Linked DNA regions of Macaca fascicularis. Each later gene encodes a partner of the first gene's protein in a complex. Links are inferred from orthologs where the notes say so. Each region holds a gene or a part of one and is shown in the gene's direction. Other genes may lie near its edges.

What was found. Proteins that work in one complex are often made in the same cells at the same time.
Region 2: the proteins of PRELID1 (region 1) and TRIAP1 are in contact, whole or in part, in a crystal structure (PDB 6I3V), measured with the Homo sapiens proteins. The link is inferred for Macaca fascicularis from reciprocal best matches to the Homo sapiens genes PRELID1 and TRIAP1. Residues at the interface, in NP_037369.1 of Homo sapiens: Trp15, Asp16, Phe19, Ala20, Trp23, Gln24, Tyr26, Pro27, Val34, Leu35, Thr36, Glu37, Asp38, Ile39, Val40, His41, Arg42, Val44, Gln48, Lys49, Leu50, Leu51, Ser52, Arg53, Leu55, Thr57, Tyr79, Leu81, Asp83, Ser84; in NP_057483.1 of Homo sapiens: Met1, Asn2, Ser3, Val4, Lys12, Tyr15, Asp16, Phe19, Asn20, Trp22, Phe23, Phe27, Leu28, Gly30, Asp31, Ser32, Phe41, Tyr44, Gln45, Val48, Gln49, Ile52, Ile57, Pro58, Ile59, Leu62, Glu63, Phe64, Met65, Gly66.

Annotation. Positions count from the first base shown.
Region 1 is NC_088380.1:184,238,411-184,243,577, forward strand, and holds PRELID1 (PRELI domain-containing protein 1, mitochondrial), read left to right. Parts: upstream 1-1,778; 5' UTR 1,779-1,959; coding exon 1,960-2,051; intron 2,052-2,557; exon of another isoform or gene 2,558-2,598; coding exon 2,599-2,824; intron 2,825-3,832; coding exon 3,833-3,946; intron 3,947-4,059; coding exon 4,060-4,138; intron 4,139-4,383; coding exon 4,384-4,532; 3' UTR 4,533-4,921; downstream 4,922-5,167. Other genes in the region: RAB24 (ras-related protein Rab-24), read right to left, coding at 120-170, 391-490, 571-638, 748-826, 988-1,056, 1,152-1,268. UniProt on the Homo sapiens protein: Involved in the modulation of the mitochondrial apoptotic pathway by ensuring the accumulation of cardiolipin (CL) in mitochondrial membranes.
Region 2 is NC_088385.1:127,471,406-127,476,738, reverse strand, and holds TRIAP1 (TP53-regulated inhibitor of apoptosis 1), read left to right. Parts: upstream 1-2,202; 5' UTR 2,203-2,239; coding exon 2,240-2,386; intron 2,387-3,622; coding exon 3,623-3,706; 3' UTR 3,707-4,612; downstream 4,613-5,333. Other genes in the region: GATC (glutamyl-tRNA(Gln) amidotransferase subunit C, mitochondrial), read right to left, coding at 1,783-1,955, 2,051-2,131. UniProt on the Homo sapiens protein: Involved in the modulation of the mitochondrial apoptotic pathway by ensuring the accumulation of cardiolipin (CL) in mitochondrial membranes.

The DNA of each region.
Region 1 (5,167 bases):
AGTGAGGGCCCAATGCCAGTAGCCCTGGGATCTCCCAGTGACCCAGCCCTCTGTGCCCTATTCAGCTTCCTCTGGTGCTCCTGTGTGTTCCTGCTGTGAGGCCCCAGCACAGCACTCACCCACACTCTGGCCTGTCTTGCTGGATGTTTCAAAGAGCTGAGCTTTGATATCTGTAAAGAGAAGTGACTAAAGCCTCATACCTGAGAATTAGATAAACAGACAAAAGGGAGGGCTAGCAGTTCAGGCAGTCTCCTGGACCCCACAGTTCAAGGAGGCCAGGAAGACCTCCTAGAGCACCTTGCCCTGGCAGCCAAGGCAGTCCCTATTTTCTGTGATCCACCCAGACAGCCACACACTCCCACCCCCCCCAAAGGGCTGAGGAGCAGCTACTGTCTGCATAGTCCTGGACGTCATGGAAGTCCACACGTCGACGCCTCCGGTCTTCTTCCAGCAGGTCACTCTTGGTGCCACAAAGGTAGATTTGGCAGCCCTGAGACAGAAGACAAGGGTCACCCCCACAGACCAACAGAACCCCAGCCCCTAGTCTTCTAGTGAGGTCTGTTCACCTACCTCCTCTAGGCTGCGCAGTTCCTTCACCCAGAACTTTGCTCGCTCAAAGCTGCTGCTGTCTGTGAGGTCTTGGTGTGCGGCATGCAGGAGACACAACCAACTGGTCAAGGGCTGTTCTCTGGCTAGCCTGGCACCCATCTCTTCTTGTGGGACAGGCCAGAACCCCCCCGCCCTTACCATAGCAAACGATGGCAGCCTTGGCACCCCGATAGTAGATTCTACTCATGGCCTCATAGCGCTCAGAGCCTGCTGTGTCCTAAAGAGTAAGGCTTGAGTCAAACTTAAGGCCATGTTCTCCAGAACCCGCAATTTCAGATAAGGAAACGGGTCTATGAGGCCACAAATCAACCAGTAATAGGAAGGACCTACACCTCCTCAGGAATGAGTCTCCCAAGAATAGATGCCCAGGGGACTTACCCAAATACCTAATGTCACAGTCCGGTCTCCGACCGACATCACCTTGGCCACGAAGGCGGCCCCGATGGTCTGCAACGAGAGGGAAGAGATCCGAGCCATAGGTGCAGATTACCGCCCCCCCCACCCCTCCGCCCACCGTGCCTGGCCCCTCCGGATGCACTTACGTTCTGATAGGGCCCCACCAGAAAGCGGTCGTGCACGTAGCGCTCCACCAGGCTTGTCTTGCCCACGTACTCCTTGCCCAGCATCACCACCTTGACGTCCACGCGCTGCCCGCTCATGCTCCTGGGGCCGCTTCAGCCACGTCAGGGTCCTGAGCGGGGACGGGAGGCAAACCCCGATCTCCGCTCGGCCCAGGCAGCGCCCAAGCCTCCGACCCCGACCCCAAACGGCGCCAACCTACGACTCGAGACAGCGCGTCGAGCTCGAGCTCTGGCCGTGGCCTTGCACTTCGGCAGCGCCCCGTGTGCCCCCGCTGTTCGGCTCCGGGCGCCGATTATCTTTCGAAGACCCCAAACCCCGGGGCGGCCTGGGAGCGCGCGGGACAGCGTCCTCAACAGCGCAGCACGCCGCCGTGCAGCTCGCTACTCCGTCATTCGCTCGCCTGCCCGGCTTAAGCTCCGTTCTGGCTGGGAATCCCAACCGAACCCGGGGTCTCCTGCAACCCGGCTCCTATCCGCAGCGCCGCGACTCCCGCGGGAGGGGGCGAGAGGGCGAGGGGGCGGGGCCGCAAGGTCACGTGGCGCGGGCGCCGGAAGCGGTTGCTACAGTGTGACTGCGCCGGAAGTAGCGCGCGGCCGGACAACTTATGGCGGCGGCGGCAGCAGCTGCTTGGGCGCGGTGCGGTGGTGATTGAGCTACGAGCCTGGCGGCGGGTGTGCGCCGAGCCCCGGCCCGGCCCGGCCCCCGCGTGCCTCCCAGGCTCCGCACCCCTGATGCTGCGCGGGTGCTGAGCCCGCTCCGGCCGGGACGATGGTGAAGTATTTCCTGGGCCAGAGCGTGCTCCGGAGTTCCTGGGACCAAGTATTCGCCGCCTTCTGGCAGCGGTACCCGAATCCCTATAGGTACGTGGTATTTGGAAGAGCAAAACTTCGCCATCTCGCTATTTGGAGATCGAAGTGTGGGTAATCCCCAAGTAATGGGACCAGGAAGGACTCGACATCGAATCCTACGTAGACCTTATTGGGGAAGCGGCCAGGCCAGGCCTGCAAGGTCCTGAAGGGAGGTTGGGCCTGGGCGGTGGTTTGCTTGAGACTTTAGTATAAGATTCTTTTCTCAGTGTGGTGAGACAAGAAGAGGCGGCAGTATGGGAGTTGGGAGGGATCTTGGGATTGGAAATCCTGTTCCTCTTCCCATGGCGCTTTCCTGGGGTGCAATAAATCATGAGGTCCATTGCTGCTAGAAGGCAGGAATCCAGGTCAGTCAGATGGCGGGAGTTGGAATTTGCCCTGGGATGGGCCCTTGACTCTGGTCTGAACCATAGCACTTACCACCTTGCAAGGTTACAGGAAGGCGTGGCCTCTCTAGGCCCGGAGACTCCAAATGGGAATCCCCTCGGGCAATCTCTTAGGGGCAGGCTCCTGAGGGTCACCTTCACCCTGACACCTGCAGCAAACATGTCTTGACGGAAGACATAGTACACCGGGAGGTGACCCCTGACCAGAAATTGCTGTCCCGGCGACTCCTGACCAAGACCAACAGGATGCCCCGCTGGGCCGAGCGACTGTTTCCTGCCAATGTTGCTCACTCGGTGTACATCCTGGAGGACTCTATTGTGGACCCACAGAATCAGACCATGACCACCTTCACCTGGAACATCAACCACGCCCGGCTGATGGTGAGACGCCTCCTGCTGTGATTCTGCACCTCCCCCTCTCCCCTCCCAGCCAGATAGCTCCTCAGATACATGTGGCTAGAGAGCCATAAGGGAGCTTTTGTGGTCTGAGGCAGGTCTGGGTTACTGAGGGTTGACAGCTGTAGAGTATGACCTCAGATTTTCTTCTTTTCAGCTGGTCATCCTCTCTGGACCTGTCTTTTGACTCATTCATACAGTAGGGGAGGGTACCTATCTTATTTCGTTGTCACTCCCATCGGGTACAGGGCACAGATATGTGTTGGACTCACAGGAGTGATGCTGAGTGGGGAAGGGAGTGCTTTTCTTTGTTTCTTTTTTTTTTTTCTGTTTTTTGTTTTTTTTCCTGGTGACAGAGTCTCACTCTGTCGCCCAGGTTGGAGTGCAGTGGCATCATCTCACCTCAGTGCCACCGCCACCTCCCAGGCTCAGGCAATTCTCGTGCCTTAGCCTCTTGAGGAGCTGGGTTTACAGGCGCACACCACCACGCCTGGCTAATTTTTGTATTTTTAGTACAGACGAGGTTTCACCATGTTGGCCAGGCTGGTCTGGAACTCCTGACCTCAAGTGATCCGCCCGCTGCAGCCTCCCAGGGTGCTAAGATTACAGGCGGGAGCCACAGTGCCGGGCCAGTGTTTTTATTTGGACTGTCAGGAAGCTCCAGAGCTGCAGTCGGTGGAAGGCGACTAAAACACTGCATGTGTATAGATGCATAAAACAAAATGCAGGAGCAGGACGGGCTGGAAGGCCCTTCGTTGATCTTAAGAGACCTTTTGCTTTCAGTTTTAAGGGTCAGAAGAGAAGTTTTCGAGAGCAAAATGACCTTATTTATGGCTTTGTGCTCTGTCAGTGCCACTTGGTGGTGCAGTCAGGGGAAGGAATGGATTTTCATTGTATCGCTTCGCCTCATGAAAAGAGACAGGGAGTCAAATTTATGTGCAAGTTGGCAAAATGAAAGACTCTTCCACGGTTGTGGTTGGCCTCTCTGCATAGGTGGTGGAGGAACGATGTGTTTACTGTGTGAACTCTGACAACAGTGGCTGGACCGAAATCCGCCGGGAAGCCTGGGTCTCCTCTAGCTTATTTGGTGTCTCCAGAGCTGTCCAGGTAAGCAGTGTTGTTGGGGCTGTTGGGGCCCTGGGACCCAGTGCTTTTGGTATTGGGGCTGGGCTGGGGTCAATGGGCAACTCAGTATCCTTCCCCTTCTCATCTTATGGCAGGAATTTGGTCTTGCCCGATTCAAAAGTAATGTGACCAAGACTATGAAGGGTTTTGAATATATCTTGGCGAAGCTACAAGGTGAGTTTCTGGGTATGTGGAGATTCCTCGTAGGGCGAGGCTCATTCAGCCTAGCAGGTGTGGAGTCTGGGTCAGTCATTGCCCTGCTCTGAGTTGGGACTTCTTGTCTGTACTGGGGGTGGGAGGAGGGTGAATACCACCTTTTTAGTGGAGCCTGGCCCAGGGGAGGTCTGTGGCATGGGGGAGGGAAATGAGGTTGGTCTTTCAGGCATCCTCTGAAGCCAGCCGCCTGCCCTTCACGACAGGCGAGGCGCCTTCCAAAACACTTGTGGAGACAGCCAAGGAAGCCAGGGAGAAGGCAAAGGAGACGGCACTGGCAGCTACAGAGAAGGCCAAGGACCTTGCCAGCAAGGCAGCCACCAAGAAGCAGCAGCAGCAGCAGCAGTTTGTGTAGCCAGCCCACCACCACCACAGCACCCCAGACAGCTAGGCTTAGCCCCTCTGCCCTCCCTCCATTGTACTTTATCATTCAAAATCAACTTCAGCCCTATCTGCTGTCTGGGTGGTGGGTTGTGGGGAGGCAGTTTGGCATCTGCAGGACAGCAAGGCACGTGATTCACATCTGTGCCAGGTCTGCTTATTCTCCCATGGGGCAGCTGAGGACCGAGGCACAGAGGTGCGGTGACTTGCCCGGGGCTCCAGGTAGCCTGCAGGTTAACTGGCGGTAAGTGCTAGACTGTAAGCCCCACGAGGGCAGGGCTTTTGGTTTTGTTCTCTGAAGTGTCTCAATATCTAGCACATAATAGACACTCAATAAATACTTATTGAATTCAGTCAGCCCCAGCTCTGGAGTCGGAAGGCTTTGGTTTGAATCTTGATTCCACTGTTTTTGGACCTCAGGTAAGTCAAGTCACTCAGCCTCATTTCCACCATCTGTGAAGTGGAGACAGAACAGCCTCCGAGTTGTGAGGATTAAGTGCACTGCCTGGCACGGCCAGCAGTGTCAGCGATGGGAACTGATCTTATTTCCTCTTCCAGTGGGTCTGTGGTTGGGAGTTCCCCCATTTTCATCAGGCAAGACTATGGACA
Region 2 (5,333 bases), on another chromosome or scaffold:
TGCTCAAGAGTCAAGCCTGGAGAACATGGCAAAATCCTGTCTCTATAAAAAATATAAAAAATTAGCGGCCGGGCCCGGTGGCTCAAGCCTGTAATCCCAGCACTTTGGGAGGCTGAGATGGGTGGATCATGAGGTCAGGAAATCGAGACCATCCTGGCAAACACGGTGAAACCCCGTCTCTACTAAAAAGTACAAAAAAAAAACTAGCCGGGCGAGGTGGCGGGTGCCTGTAGTCCCAGCTACTGGGGAGGCTGAGGCAGGAGAATGGCGTGAACCCGGGAGGCGGAGCTTGCAGTGAGCTGAGATCCGGCCACTGCACTCCAGCCTGGGCGACAGAGCGAGACTCCATCTCAAAAAAAAAAAAAAAAAAAAAAAAAATTAGCCAGGCCTGGTGGCATGAGCCTGTGGTCCTATACTTGGACGCTGAAGTAGGAGGATCTCTTGAGCCTGGGAGGTGGAGGTTGCAATGAGCTGAGATCATGCCACTGCACTCTAACCTGGGTGATAAGAGTGAGACTCCATCTCAAAAAATAAAAATAAAAGGCCGGGCGCGGTGGCTCAAGCCTGTAATCCCAGCACTTTGGGAGGCCGAGACGGGCGGATCACGAGGTCAGGAGATCGAGACCATCCTGGCTAACACGGTGAAACCCTGTCTCTACTAAAAAGTACAAAAAACTAGCTGGGCGAGGTGGCGAGCGCCTGTAGTCCCAGCTACTCGGGAGGCTGAGCCAGGAGAATGGCGTAAACCCGGGAGGCGGAGCTTGCAGTGAGCAGAGATCCGGCCACCGCACTCCAGCCTGGGTGACAGAGCGAGACTCCGTCTCAAAAAAATAAAAAAATAAAAATAAAAATAAAAATAAAAATTCGAGGCAGGAATGCAACCGGAACCAAATCTCATAAAGTGCTCACATTTTAATAAAAGAGATATAACAAATGAACAAAAGTCCATTAAAATGTTAGAGGAAAAAACCCAATAGGATGTGTTACTAACCAGAAGGGGAGAAGGGATTTGCAGTGGTTAGGAAAGCCCTTTCCCAGAAGATAAGCTGAGACCTGTGCCAAGAGGGAGGCAGCCATGCAAATACTGAGAGGCAGGAAAAAACGAAGGGTCAGTGCAAAGATCTAGAGAGGGAAAGAACTTGTCTTGCTGGAGACGCAGTCAAGGTAGCCAAGGAGGGTACTGAGAAGAGTATGTCTGAGTGAGCAGGCAGGGACTCTATGGAGTAGGGGCTCAAAGGCGATAATTAGGCCAGGCGCGGTAGCTCACGCCTATAATCCCAGCACTTTGGGAGGCCGAGGCGGGTGGATCACGAGGTCAGGAGTTCAAGACCAGCCTGGCCAAGACGGTGACACCCCGTCCCCGTCCCCGTCTCTACTAAAAATACAAAAAAAAAAATTAGCCGGGCGTGGTGTCAGGCGCCTGTAATCCCAGCTACTCGGGAGGCTGAGGAAGATAATTGTTTGAACACGGGAGGCGGAGCTTGCAGTGAGACGAGATCGCGCCACTGCACTCCAGTCTGGACTCCGTCTCAAGAAAAAAAACACAAAGGCGATGATGAGCAGTTTGGGTTTTGTTTCTACTTACACTAGGACGACACGAGCGAGAGCATCCGTAATGAACAAGGGGAAGAGTGAAGCCACTGACTCGCGAGGTGACCGTGGGCAAGTTCCTGAATCTCGCTAACGCTCTTTAACCCCCTGGAAAATTGTTCGCTAATCGTCACATTAAACGGCTGCGAACGGGCCACGCTCAAGGCTTCGGGGCTGCAGCCTCGAGTTTACCTGTCCTCCAGGACCGACTCCATGGGCTCCACCCCGTCAGTGTCCACCGCACGTAGCCGGTCGGCGAAGGCGATAGCTTTCTCCAGTCGCGCCACTGCCTCGCAGCTGCCGAAGTCCACAAGCGCTAGACGCTCCAGGTGCTCGATCACCTGGGCCGTGATCCGGCCACTGCCCTGGAGGAGGAATGAGGCACGGAGTGTGGTTCACCGGCGCCCCGGTGTGCCTCCCGGCTTGCTCCGCCACCCGCCTAGATGGCCCTGGCCTTTACCTGAGGATCCGCCTTGGACGTGAAGCCCTGGCGCCCGCCCAGAGGGGCCCGAAGGCCCAGCCACACCAACCGCGACCACATTTCTTCCTTCCTTGGCCCCCGTAGTGCGCCCGCGCGTAACGCCGAGCGACGCGCCTAAGAGTGATGACATCAGAGTGCGCTGCCGCCGCCGCCGACACCACTGTCGCCATGAACAGTGTGGGGGAGGCATGCACGGACATGAAGCGCGAATACGACCAGTGCTTCAATCGCTGGTTCGCCGAGAAGTTTCTCAAGGGGGACAGCTCCGGGGACCCGTGCACCGACCTCTTCAAGCGCTACCAGCAATGTGTTCAGGTGAGCCCTTCCGCCTCTGTTTCCAGGCCCCGCATTCTCCGCGCTGTGTCCCACTACACTCGTCGTGTTTTATGGGGGTTGGGACTGGACTGGAAGGGTGGAGAAAAGCCGCAGTGAGGTCAGTGGCAGGAGCTCGCTCCCCTATCATCACCACCGAGGCCGTTTGGGTGTCTCCCCGAATGACAAATATTGGTGCAGTGCTTTTGTTTTTAAGACACACAGTCACATCTTTTGGTTCATTTGGTGTTCATCCTAAACTCGCAAGGTGGGTATAGTTACTCATATTTTGTACATAAAAAACTAACACCCAGAAATAGGAAGTGATTGATCCGAGTTCACTAGCACCAGGTTGCCTTGATTCTTTCGCAGGTGGTGCACTTTTCCACTATTACAGCTGAGGTCTGGGCGGGGTTATACTTCAGACTGGAGGATCACATTATTTTGATGTTATAAACCCTTCGTTAGCCTGTTTATCTCTCTTGACCAGTCCCCGCAACTGCAGCTAGGAAATGTTTATTCTGGCCCAATGGATGTGGAACTGCTTTGAATTGTTAGAACAGCACTGGGCAAAGCACTTCCAATAAGTTAACCCAACACATCCTCACAGCAGTTCCCCGAGGTAGTTGCTGTCTTCATCCCATTTAGTTGGTCACATAGCCAGTAAGTCTTTCACCAACACAAAGTGATGATTATTTTTCAAATTTCACTTAATTTTAATGGTTCCCTCACAACTCCTTTTCCAGTCTCCCTCAGGTCTTACACTTGATTTATTCATTATGGTACTTTTGGTTTTTATTTATTTTTGAGGCAGTCTCACTGTCTCCCAGGCTGGAGTGCAATGGCACAATCTCAGCTCACTGGCAACCTCCGCCTCCCAGGTTCAAGCTATTCTCATGCCTCAGCCACCGGAGTAGCTGGAATTACAGGCATGCACCCCCATGCCCAGCTAATTTTTGTATTTTTAGTATAAACAGGGTTTCGCCATGTTGGCCAGGTTGGTCTCTAACTTCTGGCCTCAAGTGATCCACCTGCCTTGGTCTCCCAAAATGCTGCGATTATAGACCTGAGCCACCACACCCTACTGGTACTTGTTTTTTAAAAAGTATGTGGTTTGAATCATGGTTATAAGTCTTTATAATCAGCTTGATTTTACTTTTGTGCTGTCATATTTTATTTACAAAGCTTGCAACTTGAGCTTCATATAGATCCTTATAATGTGTTTTCTCCTCCTACCAGAAAGCAATAAAGGAGAAAGAGATTCCTATTGAAGGATTGGAATTCATGGGCCATGGCAAAGAAAAGTCTGAAAATTCTTCTTGACCTTGACAGTCACCTTGAAGGATTTCTCAATCCAGAAATTGAGGACTCTGGATTTTTGTCAACTAAATCTGTGAACCTAGCCATCAGATTTGATGAGGAACTTAGGAGAGAGGAGTTTTATTTCCCCCTTCGATGTTTTCCTCTCAGTTGTAAAAGATGAACTCTTTGAGATGATTTCTTACCTGCTGTGGCATCTGGCAGGAACTCAGTGTGCTAAAATTGAACAATTTTTTGAGATTATGGTTGCAATACTTGGTGTGGAATCAGCTTTACATAAATATACCTTGTATGCAAACGATGATAAACTAGTCAGGATGAGCAGAGCTGCCTGACCTCTTGATTTCTGCTGCGAAAGACATATACACTGTACTGGGGTCATCGTTCATGAAAGCAATTGGTTAAGACCTCTTTTTTTCTCTCAGGGAACTAATGCTCTGAAAAAGGATCTGGGCACAACAGTTTCAGTGAGTGCTTTTGAGCACACTTTTATTTTTATATAGTAACTAATGGTTAAGATTACTGGTGGCCTGGATTAGCAAAGAGGAAGACAGCTTTTAACACAGTTCCCTGCCTTCACCAGAGGTGTCAGATTAAGATGTGAAAGCTGCAAGAATGTTGGAATGACCACCATTTCAGAGCTCTCAGTGTGTAGTTCAGGAATTAAGATATTTGGAATAGCTATGGAGGAAGAACCTAAATTGCAAAGATCTGCTATTGCCAGCTTTCAACCCAAGTCAGTGAATTGTCAACCTGCATATCCTTAAAATGCTGCATCTGGTTAAATGGTGGGCGGGTGGGGGGGGAAGCTAAAGGTGCTGGCTTTATTTGCCTTGTTTACTCATCCTGCCCTGTAATGTCTGTAATCCTGAAGATGGAATAAATTGTAACATTTAGTTTCTATCATTATTTGCCTCTGGAACTCAGTGCATTTTATGGAACTATTACCCTGTTACCCTACAAACCTCACGTATACACCAGGGAGAGTTTTGTAACTTAAAGGTGAAGAAAAAGTGACTTGTCTAAGCTAGGTGGTACAGTATGGCAATCAGAAACCTCACTGATTTTTTTTTTTGAGACAGTCTGGCTCTGTCGCCCAGGCTGGAGTGCAGTGGTGCAATCTCGGCTTACTGCAACCTCCACCTCCTGGGTTCCAATGATTTTCCTGCCTCAGCCTCCCGAGTAGCTGGGATTACAGGCGTGCACCGCAATGCCCAGCTAATTTTTGTATTTTTAGTAGAGATGGGGTTTCACCATATTGGCCAGGCTGGTCTTGAACTCTTTTTTTTTTTTTTTTGAGACGGAGTCTTGCTCTGTCGCCCGGGCTGGAGTGCAGTGGCGCGATCTCGGCTCACTGCAAGCTCCGCCTCCCGGGCTTACGCCATTCTCCTGCCTCAGCCTCCCAAGTAGCTGGGACCACAGGCGCCCGCCACCTCGCCCGGCTAGTTTTTTGTATTTTTTAGTAGAGACGGGGTTTCACCGTGTTCGCCAAGATGGTCTTGATCTCCTGACCTCGTGATCCGCCCGTCTCGGCCTCCCAAAGTGCTGGGATTACAGGCTTGAGCCACCGCGCCCAGCCGGTCTTAAACTCTTAACCTCAGGTAATCTGCCAGTCTTGACATCCCAAAGT